Saccharomyces cerevisiae S288C: one gene and its partner. The gene in region 2 interacts genetically with the main gene of each other region. Each region holds a gene or a part of one and is shown on either strand. Other genes may lie near its edges.

Region 1 (6,541 bases), on a different chromosome or scaffold from region 2:
CCACCCACGCATCCAAACGACCGGGCGAGCGGGTAATAGATGGTTCTATTCTTTAGCCGCCGAAGCTTTCTTCTCTATATACATGTAAATGTATATAATTCCGGAAGTGTGGTCCTGCTACGAACAACACAAACCGATTAATTGATAATGGAAAGAGGAATGAGGTTGGGACAAGTAATACCAACTGGGGCTACAGGAAGGTGGTGAAAGAGGGTATCACATATAAGAACAAACCGTTTATTCGATTATTTAAATCTATTTTAGGCCACGAAGGTAGAGAGGTTGCGAGTGAAAACAACTAACTTTCTTTACGATATTTCTCAATTGGAACTGACAGCGTTAAAGTCCATATTTTGCTACTGATTGCTTTTCTTTGGTGTTATCTACCTTAAGAGAAAAAAAATTCAAATGAAGATTACCCGACTCTGAGTTTTGACGTCCTTAGCTGTTTGTATTCACTGAATTTAGTGGGCTTGGCCATATGAGAATTACAACTAAATCATACTTTTTCGAGATTTTATACTGCTAATATTGGAGAAGAAATATTGACCATCTTGATTTAGCAACGAGAAAGACCTGAACACCATAATGGGCTCTTCGTTGAGAAGCTTTATCAAAGACGTTCGTGGTGCCAAAACACTGGCAGATGAAAGGGCAATTATAACGAAACAATCTGCTAAAATTAGGACAAAATTGAGAGATGACCATCTACCACATGAAAAAAGGCGAGTAAATATCCAGAAACTTCTGTATCTATACATTCTAGGGGAAAAGACACATTTCGGTCAGGTGGAGTCTATCAATTTAATTGCTTCTGACGATTTTGTCGATAAAAGATTAGGCTATCTGGCCGCAACTTTATTGTTGGACGAATCTGAAGATTTATTGACACTCTTAACGAACATGTTGAACAACGATTTGCATCATCCCAACAAATATGCAGTGTCACTTGCACTAACCTCATTAGGCTTTTTGAGCTCCCCTGAATTAGCCAGAGATTTATACCCAGACGTCGAAAATATCATCAAAAATTCAAGAGACCCTTTCCTCTTGAAAAAAGCGCTTCAATGTGCTGCCAAACTAATTTTCAAAGACGTTTCACTTTTAGAAATCTTCAACATCGAAGACATTACTAAGATATTGTCTAGTCATTCAATATGTACTCACGGTGTACTTTTAGGCGTTACGAAAATCATACAATCTATTTTGTTAATTGGATTGAACAGAAAAAAAGATGAGGATGAAGATGAAGACGGTATTGATTACAGCAATGACATCTTGTCTCCATTATCTTTACTTTTGCGTGATTTTTTCATTCGTTTGGAAAATATGAATTCTAAAAATATTGAACCTGGATATGATGTCCAAGGTATTTGTGACCCATTTCTGCAGTGTGAAATAATTTACACTTTAAAACTATACTTTCAAGTTGGTGAGCTCTTAAATTCGAACAATGTTTTGGACTACAAAGATAATTTCTGCGATTTATTGACTCGTATTGCGACGAATACGGATTCAACGAAAAACAGCGGACAGGCCATTCTTTATGAGACCGTGAAGACGATCTTTTCGTTGGATTTGAACCAGCCTCTACGTGTCCTTGGTATTAACATCTTGGCCAAGTTTCTTGCAGGAAAAGATAATAATACTAAATACGTTTCATTAAACACCTTATTAAAAGTTGTTCCCCAAGAGCCTACCGCAGTACAAAGGCATAGAAAATTCATTTCTCATTGTCTGCAGGATACCGATGTGTCGATCCGCATGAGAGCGTTAGAGTTGAGCTTCGCCATCTTGGACGATTCAAATTTAGTGGAATTGGTTAACGAATTGATGAAATTTTTGGCAAAACAGGATGAAGATTCAAAAGATCTCATAATATACACTATAGATCACTTAATTGACACTTTTGATACCCGCGTTGTCAAAGATGAAAGCTGGAAATTAGATGTTTTCTTTAATATCTTAAAATTAGTGGGATCGTTTATCAACTATGAAAAAATTAATGATATTCTAATCATAATAAATAATACGAGCCAGTTATCCGACAAATCTGAATTTTTACGGAAAATGCTGACAATTTCACTAAATGGAACATCAGCGGAGATTTCCGAGGAAAATATTGGTTGGCAGTTGGTTTTGATTTGGTGCATTGGCGAATATGGCGATTTAGTACTCAACGAGGGCAATAAAAATGGTGCAGACATAATCAATGAGTCATCTATTACTGATTACTTACTAACTTTGCAAGAACTCTACACAGCAACGAATCTGAAGATAATCAATTACATTTTAACAGCAGCATTAAAATTATCTGTGAGGTTCCATGACGCGAAAAATATTGAAAAACTAAGACAACTGATATTGAGCTACACGGATTCCACTGATTTATCACTGCAAATGAAAAGCAATCAATACGAGATATTTTTCAATCAGTCAATTTCTGTGAAGAAGATCATTTTAGAAACAATGCCTAAATTTGAAAAAATTACCGAGGAACAGGATAATGGAAAAGCTCTATCGAAAAACCTTATCTCCAACGAACCAGTTGATCTGCTGTCAGATTTATTGGGTGAGGATAGCAAGGCTGAAAGCAAGGCTTCTACTGGTGACAATGTGAAACCAATTGACATATTAGAAGAGATTTTTGGAGAGAAGAATGACATTGCTCAGGTGCCCAAAAATGCGAACAAGGAAGAATCAATCAATCATTCGTCGGCAGTGGAGGCAAACTCAGGTGTCACCTTACCATTGGATGCCAACAAGATATATGACAGTTCCTCACTGAATGTATATGCTTCCTTGCTCTCTGCAAACTCTGGATTAGCACATTTGGATTTATATTTTCAGGCAAAGTCTTTAATATCTGACTTAAAAACTTTCTGTGCCGTTCCTAAAGCTCAAAAGCTAACACTAGGCCAGTTATATCCATCTTCCACAATAAACGCCAGCCAAATTTGCAAGCAGTCATTGAAAATTTCTGGATCTGGGAAACTGAAGTTAAGAGTTAAGTTGGATTTTCATTTAAATGGCTCTTCATCTATCACCAATGAACAGTTCGATCACAAATTCGATGAAACTCTATAAAAAATGCCTTTAAAATTACAGAACATAACATGATTAATGACCTTGCGTTGGATGGTCTGTCGCGCATATCAAGAGACACGTCACGACACAACACGATGAATAGAAATGCTATCTTCTGGGACACCATAAACGACTCCAAAATATTTTATATGTTAAGTAGCGATATATAACAACTAATAACATATGTACTTATATGCTCTCAATAGAATAGATAACAAAGAGAACAAAAACGAGAGTTTGATTTGAGGATATAGGTGAGTTGCCTCTTAATGAACAGAAGCACCTGTAGCCTTAGAAGCCTCATTGACGGAAGCTCTAATTTCATCCTTTTCTGTCTTGCTAACATCTCTTAGGATATATCTGTCGGTCAATGGGGCTACGATCTTTTGATAGATCATTCTAGCGCCACCAGTTTGAGGCAAGGCAATGTAGATTAAGAAAACGGTTTTCAAAAACCAGTAGAATGGAATCAAATATAGAATTGCCTTGGACCAGAATTCAATGACACTCAAAAATGAAAAGACAATCCAGTAGGTCAAGAGTTGTGTGTCATCGGTGGACGTTGGTGTCTTCAAAGCAACCAACGATAAATATGCTGGCAACACAAACCCAGCAAAATTGGAAAGAATTTCACCTACACCTCCGACGTTAATAAAAATCAAAAGGAGATAAGCGAAACCTAAACCAGCAACTAAATAAGATTTAGGCAAATTAGTTTTATTTTCTAATTGCTGTAAAATTCTATTACCAGAGTACTTCTGTAGAAAAAAATGTAGCAAGGAGGGTGAAAATTAGCTTTCTTGTTAGTATAACTGCTTCGGTTACGTGTGTCGGGTCATTTGGCTGTTTGAACCATGATGACGATGGAACCAATAAAACCATCTTACATACGGTATCGAATTGTTTCATTTGAGAGTGAATACTAGATGCATATTCGGACATGATTGGAGTGCGGTTATGTCTTTGTTTATTTGTTTTCACTACCAATTGCAATTTTAGATTCTTTCTTTCGGAATAACAAGCTTCAAGGGAATGTTTTTTAGTTTTAAATCAAAAAAAATTTTGAAGGACATATTTTTTTTTTTTTCGTTCAACCTTGAAAGGGGTTACGCATACTCCCTTTGACGTGGACAAGAAGAGAGAATAACGGCGCTAAGAAAGCGAACCACGAAAATTCGAGAATGGTGATAAAAAAATAAAGGTTAGAATGCCACACAGCCTTCCAAAGAGTGAATGAAAATCTTTTGACTTGATGTAGTTTTTTTTTTTTCAGGAGGAAGTTTAATCCGGATTGTGATTAAATCAGTACTGCCCCTCCAGCAGCCATATAACCTACTTACTGCGTAACTAGTAATTGCGCTCACCCATCCTATCTATGCAACTCTTCTGAAGGTCTTCTCAAGCACTTAATTTTTGTTTTTCAGGAGATTGACAGGGTTTGTCGCTTGTCTTGGCACTCATTCCAGCACTGATTGGGCAGCTAGTTTGAAGAGTTGCACCAATAAATTAGAACCTCATTAAAGTCATGAATGGACGAGCAAGTAGCAAGTCTTATAAATACTTGAAAACGTGCATGTGATGATGGCATCGCTCCCTGTTGAATTTCTTTTTTTCCGTTGGAAGGTGCACTTGTTGAGCGCATTAAAGTTTTATAAAGCATAGTATTCAGGCTCAAAATAAAAGGGGACAAAACAAAACGTGCCGGTGAAACATATATGTCTTGAGAAAATTATTATAATGTTGTCTTCGTCTCTTACTTTTAGAATGTACTCTTTAAAAGTTAGACGCTTGGACCATTTATAAAGCACAAGAATGCTTGTTTATTTCATTCTGATATGCGGATTTAGCTCAGTTGGGAGAGCGCCAGACTGAAGAAAAAACTTCGGTCAAGTTATCTGGAGGTCCTGTGTTCGATCCACAGAATTCGCATTTATTTTTTCGACCTGCCAACTGCGGAAAGTTGGTTCTTGAACTTGACTGCTCCTTCTCTTATGGAAATATCAATGAAAATATAGACTCAAGTAGGAAGATGAAGGAGTTTTTCAACTTGAATGTCTGACTTTTTTTCAAAATTTTCTTACGCCATTGGCCATCTTTTAATGTCTCCAACAAAAAACCAATAACGGATAATCAATATAAGCGTTGGAAAAGAATTTATCACGGCCAAAATTGTTCCCGTTAAAAGTTCGAAGTTTTAGGGACATAAATTTGTCTAAAACTCATGGAAGCACACTTTGCTTCCATTACGTATTGTATAATATTTCCTACTATATCGTGGACTGATACTTTCTTGAGATATCTACATACTTTCTCCGTCAGAGTCAGTCATCCCACCTCAGAGTTTACTAAAAGAGGTCAAAAAGAGGGAAGCAGACAGACTAAGGTAGATGTCCAAAGTTGACAAATAAATATCTGGCTCCACAGTTTTTCAAAATCTCTTGATGATCCCTTGCATTTAAAGGACCGTTATTTGCCGACTACGGACAGAGAAGTTAAATCTGAAAAGAAATGAAAGAAGTGTACAATGACAACAAAAACGATGAAGTAACGTCTTTTTTTTTTTTTGATTACTCCCAAATTCAGTTCCCCCGTTCTTGAATTGGACTACCGATGTTTATGAGCTGGGCATTTTCTCAGGAATTATATAGTATGTTAAGTGTGTAACAAATTGAGATGAATATATACGTGCTGGCTTACGCATTATGAAACACACTAGTAGAATAAGTGTTTCGGATGGGAAGTTTATTGATACTAAACCTAACGTGTCTTCCAAACGAACAAATAATAATGTAGGTTTCAAATTATATCAGCGACTAACTTCGGCGGCTATATGGACAGTCACTAAAGTGTTTTGAAGATGTTTTCTTTCTGTGGTCACGACGGTAGCCTCAACTGCCTAGAAATTTACAAAACAAAATAGTTTACAAAATTAAAGCACTTTTCAAGCGCCGTGCATATTAGTTTTTGTGGTACTGAAAGTTCGGTTACATGATGTGCGGCAAACAACTTTTTGATGTTGGCTAGCAGATCGAGATTCTGTTGATGATGGCAACGTTGAAAAAGCGTTGATCACAAGAATTAGAAAGTACTAATTTTCCATTACTTCTAACTAAAGAGGGAATTACCATTAGTGTAATTCACAAACATTTGTAAAAAAACAATCATCATAACGTACTATTCATAAACATATAAAGCGCCAGATAAAAAGAAATGGTTGGTATTTACAGAATACTTGCTTCGTTCGTCCCACTCCTGGGTCTTCTTTTTGCATTCCATGATGATGACATGATAGATACTGTTACAATCATCAAAACTGTATATGAAACGGTGACATCAACTTCTACTGCACCTGCACCTGCCGCTACAAAATCTGTTAGTGAAAAGAAACTGGATGACACTAAACTAACACTTCAAGTAATTCAAACTATGGTATCATGTTTTTCTGTAGGTGAAA
Region 2 (8,529 bases):
GTAAAAAGCTTAGGTTAAGTGCCTTCAAGAACGAAACCTAATTTTAAAATTGACGACTAATTATCAAGTGTATTGAAGATGGCTTGAGATGAACCTTAGCACTGGATGCTATGGCTTGTAGAATAAGCAGATATCCCGGTAATTTAATTTGAGTTGCTCAAATTATATACAAGAACGTGGTAGAGACTGGATTTGGAAGCGTCTCTTTTTATGAAGTAGATTTTAACTCCGTTTTCTTTTCATTTCCTTCTATTCTTTTGTACAGAGTGTACCACCACGTTTTAATACTTTGTTTTAATACAGTAGGCAATGGTTAATCAGGGCCAACCGCAACCTAACCTCTATGACAAACACATTAACATGTTTCCACCAGCAAGGGCGCGGGAGTCCTCGCATAAATTGGGAAATGCCAATTCGGATAGGCATGGTTTGCCAGCTCAAAATATAGTGCCTGCACCCTATCCAGTGGATGACTCTATCGTTGAACTCACACCAGCTATTCCTTTTACATCCCCTTCATCTTCCTCATCATTATCGCTGCCTTTGAGTGCGCTGAATTTCACAGACGGGAATGCTGATGGTGGTCAATTAGGCACTCCAGTAACCATAAATAGTAATAACGGCATGGACATTTTTAATTCCAAGCCAACAGGTGAAATAGGATATGCCAATAATGGCACCAACAGTACTGGTAGTAGGTATGAACTTCCTTTCAATTTTAGTTCTACAAAAGAGAGTTTGGGTTCACCAGCTGTACAAGATGCATCAATAAGCAGTGGAAATCGAATATCAGAGTCTGTAAGGGACAACTCAGCGCCACCACCCTATGAGGAATCTGAATCTAGGATACTGCAGGAAAAAGTTTACAGAACCGAGGAAAAAGCTCCAATACGACCTTTGAATAATAATCCTGTTCCACCACAAAAAATCAACCAACCACCCACTGGGAGCGCGAAGACAGACGATAATGGGTCCTCAGGTGGTGAGGACAAACTGTCTTCCTATTCACCAGAGGCATTGGCTTTCTATCAAGTGTACAAGAAGACAATTACTGACTCTTCAAAATTCACCCCCGAGATACAAATGCAATGGTGTGAAACATTACTTACATATGCCTTTAATGAGGATTTCATATCGCAATATAACATAAACGCGGAGAAGCTCAAAAGAAGCTTAAAGCCTGAGGAAATGCTCAAAAACCAGAAAGTCATTTTGGAACATTCATTCAAGGTGCTCACAAAATTGATAACTTTAAAATGGCCACCTGCCATGTATTTAATGGGGACGCTGTATTCACACCAACCCTATTTACCTATAAAGAACAAAAACATCGTTATTAAAAATGATGAAAAGGCGCTGGAATATTATTGTAAAGCTGCGAAATTGAACAATTCAGATGCATGCTACCGTGCAGGTGTATGCTTTGAATACCAAAGGGGCACCTCTTCTTTGGATCCATCACCAACCAAAGAACAATGCATAAAAAAGGCCTTCCAATACTACCAGCATGGCGCAGAAGTTTGTTCAAATTCTGCGTGTATGTATAAATTAGGGATGAGCCATTTATACGGTCTGAACATGCAAAAGACTGATGTATTGCTAGCTATTAAATGGTTTGATAAAGCTGCCCAAAAGGGTGACTCTCCACAAACATTATATGAGTTAGGTAAAATATATGAATTCAGTGTTTTGCCGCCAGAAATCCAGAACCTATTATTTGCGAACGGCATACGAAAAGACTCTCAACTGGCAATAAAATACTACCAACAATGTGCCAAAGATTTTGAGTACCCTTTAGCGCAATGGAAATTAGGAAATTGTTATGAGTTTGGAGACCTAGGGTTGCCAGTGGTGGCCAAAAAATCCATATATTGGTATTCCAAAGCTGCTGCTGCTCAGCCGAAGGGGAATCCGATGGCAATGTTATCCTTAAGTGGATGGTACTTAACGGGAGCACCAAATATTTTGAAACCAAACAATAAAGAGGCATTCAACTGGGCCTTGAAGAGCAGCAAGTGTTCAGACGGTAAATTAGCCCGCACTGAATTTGCCTTAGGATTTTATTACGAAAAAGGTGTCGGTTGTGAAGTTGATTTGGATCTGGCCAAACAATATTATCAGAGGGCTGCAAGAATGGGATTCAGGAAGGCAGTTGATGCTCTTCGAAGTTTGACAAATTAACGAATTCGCATTTCTTTATTATGCCATAAATCAAATATTATTCAGGACATTAGTAAAATATTGTAACATTCTCCTCAAAAATGAGAGGAGAATAAAAATAACAAAAGCGAAGAAATGCGACGTCATTTACTCATTATTTTAAACTAAATAAAAAAAATATTGTAACTACTTATCGTTGTAATGATATCTTTTCTTCAAAAAAATATATAGTTGGTGATAAATATGACCTCTTTGAAAAAAAGAAAAGGAAATGAACTACTAGCTAGAAAGAAGAGAGAAAAAAAAAAAAACTAGATTATGCGTGTTGCAATTTTTGCTTTAGGCCGTGCGTGGTTTTGTGTAAGGTTTCATTATTCTTGATGGGAATCGATTGGCTTTCGGCGGGTTTAGTGGTGTGTCTAGTTGGAGCTGGAACGGTGATTGGATCTGGGATTTCCTTGCTTCCTACCAGATTGTAATCACCATCTTTTAGGTTTTGCTCCAGTTCACGCTGATGAGCTGCTAATTCTTCTTCAATATCAACTGTTCTTGGATCATATGTCTTGACATCTGGTTTACTGAAGTTTTCATGCCTGTTGTTGAAATCCTTCTCTGTTGGTATTTCCTGCTTCCCAGATTTTAAGGTGCCAATATTCTCATTCTGAGAAACTGGATATTCGGCTCGGTTATATTGAGAGGTAGAATAGCTGTCTTTGCCACTTTTGGAGGCTGACGTGTCGTTCATGTTGTCAAACTCAGAAGAGGAAAGGCCGCTCTTGTTACGTTGAGAAGTAGAAGATTTGTTTTCGTTACTGATAGAGGTTGAGTAGCTGCCTTCATCGGTTTGGGGTGGGATAATCTTGTCAATGTATGGTTCAGTCTTTTCAACCACCTTGTTGTAATTTTTGTGAAACCTATGAATAACTAGATCCTTCATCCTGTCGATAGCACGGTCAATTCTAGCCTGCTTTCTATCGTAGATTAAAGGCACAGTGTACAAAAAGATGGTGGTCATTATCAAAACAGTGTTCATAGAGAATATAGCAAATAGGCCGTGCAAGAAATAGAGGGAAACACCAATGGTAAAATTGTTTCTTGTTCTGTGTGCAAACACTAACTTTCTGATTCTGTCCTCTAACGCAGGCAGACGATCCAATTCGCGGTCGATATGAGGCTTTAAGACGCCAACAAGGTCCGGAGACTCTTGCATGCCAAACCTAGACACTACTCCTTTATCAAATAGCACCTTTGTAGAAAGCTCCACCGCAAAACTCGTGAACAACACCATGTATCCGATCTTAAGTAAAACAGAAATAACATTGACATTTCTGAGGATCAGCAAACTCACCAGAGTCGCAGCAAAGCTCGCACCCGACTTGCTAGGGTTAGTCCAGTATATCAATCCCGTCTTGTTCTGATGACCTGCTTCACCGGGAGCGTTAGCATTTCTACTGTTATTCAAATTCGCGTTCTTATTGGTAGTCGTATTCCTATTCATGTTGATGATAGTTTGTGGCAAGTTGAGACAAGCAATTGAACAAGTTATTACTACTATTGCTACATAATTGATCTGCTTTTCAATCCCTTTTATATATTTTTTTCATCAAAGTAGCAAGCTTTATCGTTTGAGGGTGGAAATAAGGGTGAACAATAAGGGGAGATTGCCTATGCGCCTAAACGTCACCGTCTAACCTTGTTCTCCTTTCAACAAAAACGCCTTGCGTTCTTATTGCTAGGCCACAATTACAAGCATCTCAAATGGGGCATTATCACACCGGTACCACCGACACATTCTGCTGCTACCCTTGTAGTTTAAGTTAACTTTGCGTCCACTTTTCGTAATTATTTTGCTCCCTGGCAGCACCGGGGGTAAAGATGTCTTTCTGGCTAATGCAGTCATCCTTACATTGTCGTTCGTACGGCAGTCCAGGATTTTTGACCATCTTTACGCAGCAATTCCCATATAACATTCCTTCTCTCCTTGTCAATTGACCCTGGGGAGCGTCTGACCAATAAGAAACCGATGAGTAAGCAATGAAGGTCTTTTTTTTGGCTACGAAAATTTCAGCAATTTTTTAAAGTGAAAAAGTAAAAAAATCAAACATAAAAAAAGAAAGAAAATGAAAAAGTAAAGGAACGCTTTATATAAACGAGGCTACTAACTATCTGTATTATTGCTACACATAGCCTGAATTCAAGGTCATTGGCAGATTGACGCTCGTGTTTGCATGGTACAGGGCTGTATTAGATTTTGAATATTCTGTTCTTCTCATCCCGTATTAATATCTAGAACAATAGAAAAAAAGAAAAGCGAAGAAAATCTAGATAAATTTGTAGTTGGTAAATACACACGTACTATGGGCCCTGAAACTCTACATATTGGTGGGAGAAAATCGAAATTGGCGGTAATACAATCCAACCATGTTTTAAAACTGATCGAAGAAAAGTATCCGGACTACGACTGCAAGGTTTTCACTTTGCAAACTCTTGGTGACCAGATTCAATTCAAACCTTTGTACTCATTTGGCGGTAAAGCTTTATGGACAAAGGAGTTGGAAGACCATCTTTACCATGACGATCCCTCAAAGAAGCTTGACTTGATCGTTCATTCTCTGAAGGACATGCCCACTTTACTACCAGAGGGTTTCGAGCTGGGGGGTATCACTAAGCGGGTCGATCCAACAGATTGTCTTGTCATGCCCTTTTACTCTGCTTATAAGTCTCTGGATGACCTTCCAGACGGGGGGATTGTGGGAACCTCATCCGTGAGAAGATCTGCTCAGCTAAAAAGAAAATACCCACATTTGAAATTTGAAAGTGTCAGAGGAAATATACAAACTAGATTACAAAAACTAGACGACCCAAAATCTCCGTACCAATGCATCATCTTGGCGTCTGCTGGGTTGATGCGTATGGGGTTGGAAAACAGAATTACGCAGCGATTCCATTCGGATACAATGTACCATGCAGTTGGACAAGGCGCCCTGGGTATAGAAATTAGAAAGGGTGACACCAAGATGATGAAGATTCTTGACGAAATTTGCGATCTAAATGCAACTATATGTTGCCTTTCGGAGCGTGCTTTGATGAGAACTTTAGAGGGGGGTTGTTCCGTTCCTATTGGTGTGGAATCTAAATACAATGAAGAGACTAAAAAATTACTATTAAAGGCCATTGTAGTTGACGTTGAAGGCACAGAAGCAGTAGAAGACGAAATTGAAATGCTAATAGAAAATGTTAAAGAAGATTCCATGGCGTGTGGTAAGATACTAGCTGAAAGAATGATTGCCGATGGCGCAAAGAAAATTCTGGATGAAATTAATTTAGACAGAATCAAATGAACACCATTAATTTGATCAGTCCAAAAACTCTATTATTACTAACTAAAGTTCCCTTTTTTTTTTTTTTTTTTTTTTTTTTCCTTATCTCCTTTATCTTTCAGTTATTTATTTCCCTCTCATTCCTCTCATATTACTTGTTTAATTTAATGACCATTTTCAAATGACCACTGCATAAATATTTTGTCAATTAGAATATGTAATTCCTACCTTTGTTTATTTTATACTATTCATACAAGCTTCGTTGTTAATATATTTATTATAGCTTGTATATAAAAAATGAAATCTTGATTTATTAAATTACACTTGGTGAACTTCTAAAAAAACACTAATACATGTGACAACTATATACAACGTAAGAAGTGCAATACTAATCTTCTTGTCAATTTTCCAGTCGTTTAATGGTATCAAAACCGTAAATATCAAAAACGCGATCAGAATTCCGACTCCAGTATTGATTAAGTTTTTATCCACTTTAAAATCAATATGATGCATTAAAATATTACTATCTCTGCCACTCACTATTTTTCCAGTTTTGTCGCCTAGCATTATCATAATTCCATCAAATCCGACGCCAAATAAGAAATATAAAAGTGGACTGCCAAAACAAGCTCCTATCGCGATTTCTAAAACACCTATTTTGACGAATGTAATATTTGACACTAAATCACCAATCGAATTACCCCATGTAAAAATGGTTAAACCTAGTATTGTTTCCGATATATTAAACACATTTATCCAATGCGTTAACGTGACTACAATTATGTGGACAGCTTTCGAAAGACAGGCCAATGACAATAAAAATGCTACTGTAAAGATTATATCAGAGTTGAACTTGTTCGGTATGGTCCTAGTTTTAAAATATAATAAGATGGCTATCACCAGCGATAAGATGAGCAACCAAAATGAAAAGTTATTTGTGATGAGTTGGTTGAGAATTATTGGCGAAGCAATCAATTGAATATTCTGTAGGTATGAAAGGGGTAAGTCATGGTCTGTTTGACTTATCTCTGATGGTATTGAAAGATAAAGAATTATTGATACCGGCGTAGTGACTAATAATGACAAGAACTCAAAGAAACCAATTTCCAAGGACACATCTGTTAAGTAATTGTAAAGTTGGAAACTATGCCAAGCGGTTCTACTCTTTGTTGAACAGAGAGATAGTGTTCTATCGAGAATTATATCATCTCTCTCATACTGTAAGAGAGAGTTGTCGATAACATCTGATATGCTGTTCAAGGCATTGGTAGATTCCTGTGTACGTGTAGCCTCGTCATTTAATATAATATTATTACTCCGGACCAAGTTTGGAATGCGATCGCAGCTTAATGATTTCTTGGAGGTTTTTTTTTGTGGCACAGTCAAAAACAAACTTGTGGGTTCATTATAGTAAGTTTGATACTCGTTTTGGGGAGCAGAGATTGCAGTATCCAGCGCATTTGAATTTTCCCCATTCCGTAGGGACAAATATTTGTAAAAATCCTTAGGTTGTAATGAATTCATCCTTTTTCTTATTAAAGGCCTCCCTTCTTCATCTAAAGAAGCTTTAGTAAATAAATGAGTATCATCGGAGGGTAAAGACAACGATTTTACTGTATTGTTAAAAAGATTCTGCTTCTCCCATATATTCAAAAGATCTTGTAACGTCATTCTTACCCAGCCATGATAATGCGACCGTAAATATCCCCGTATTCTACGTCTTATTAAATCCCTTCTTTCAGGTATACCTTGATTAAATCTCGAAATGTTATCCAGGGATTTACTTGGTAAACGAGTTGGATCTAAACTAATAGCGTTGTCCTCATCAATCTGTGTATCCCCCAAAGGCCTTACATATCTTATTCCATCGTCTGTGGATGTAATGTCACTGGTAGTCGTTAATGTAAATCGATTTGGAACAGTGATATGATTATTTGCAAGTACAGTTTTTTTTATTTCTACCTCTCTTTCTAAAGCATCATTGATTTCGCAGGGATATTTGTAGCTTTTTATTAAATAGACAGCACAACAGCAGTAGGTTAAAACCATGACAATACACTCCCAAAAGTACAGTCTTCCATCTGCTAGAAAAGTGCCCGAAACTAAGAGCATAAAAGTGAATATTCCGACATCCAATATATAATTGCTTCTATCATACGATAAATTTTGGTCAAAGCTTTCTTCTGTGTAAGTTTCAATAGACTTGTCATGTTGAAATTGAATAGTGGCTACGCAGCCCATTAGTCCAATCACAACGGTTAACAGAAAAAATATGCCACCAAATAACTCACCAATGGCCAAGGAAGTCACGCCAGATTTCATCGACTGGTAAGTACTAGTAATATCAGGAAGTGCATTCCCCAATGCTAATAAAGTCATGCCGGATACTCTATCGGAAATATGGAATATGTTACTGGAAATGTATGACAAAGATGGTGTTAAGCAGTCAGAGGTAACCACTCCTAGTAAAGAGAAGCATTCAATAAGTACAACAGAATGCAGATAAAATTCAGATATTGAGCCATTACTAGAAAGGGAATAGCCTATTAATATAACGTTCGAAACGTAGAAGGCTATCGTTATTAGCCATCTTAAAGGTTTATGCATCTGCTTTAAAAAATTTGATAAATGAAGAGTAGCATTTACAAATAAAGGTAAGGAGATAGGCGCCGGAAAAAGAATGAATATTCTGCTTGATCGAATAAGATATTATGAGCGGTAGTTCAAATGTCAATTTCACGTACGTATATTTGAGTGGGAGATTGTCTTAACTTTTCCCACTTACGGCTTAATATTCATGACGTATTTTCTGCCATCCCTTGATATCGAGCCGAAAATAAAACTAAAAATGGCGACGTTTAAAATAAAGTCATTATAAAGTGTATTAGCATAATGTGCATATATAAGTTCAGAATTTTCTAAGGAGACATTTCCGGAAAGGACTCCATATTATTATTTTGCCAGGCCTCTAATAAAATTCTTAATCTCGCAGCACCCACATATTTCTTTTCAGCCATTCTGGAGGTCAATTCCTCACCAATCAAGATTA

The links. Genes that interact genetically often act in the same process or in processes that back each other up.
Region 1: mutations in RTN2 (region 2) and YOP1 impair growth when combined (synthetic growth defect), as found in Saccharomyces cerevisiae (one study listed by BioGRID).

Annotation. Positions count from the first base shown.
Region 1 is NC_001148.4:621,015-627,555, reverse strand, and holds YOP1 (Yop1p), read right to left. Parts: upstream 4,030-6,541; coding exon 3,979-4,029; intron 3,846-3,978; coding exon 3,354-3,845; downstream 1-3,353. Other genes in the region: APL4 (AP-1 complex subunit gamma), read left to right, coding at 589-3,087; YPR027C (uncharacterized protein), read left to right, coding at 6,298-6,541. UniProt on the Saccharomyces cerevisiae protein: Required to generate and maintain the structure of the tubular endoplasmic reticulum network and the vacuole. Induces high curvature in membranes and causes membrane tubule formation. Involved in membrane/vesicle trafficking.
Region 2 is NC_001136.10:89,734-98,262, reverse strand, and holds RTN2 (Rtn2p), read right to left. Parts: upstream 3,659-8,529; coding exon 2,477-3,658; downstream 1-2,476. Other genes in the region: ACK1 (Ack1p), read left to right, coding at 310-2,181; YDL204W-A (uncharacterized protein), read right to left, coding at 3,978-4,130; HEM3 (hydroxymethylbilane synthase), read left to right, coding at 4,518-5,501; YCX1 (Ycx1p), read right to left, coding at 5,799-8,087; nucleoporin GLE1, read right to left, coding at 8,399-8,529.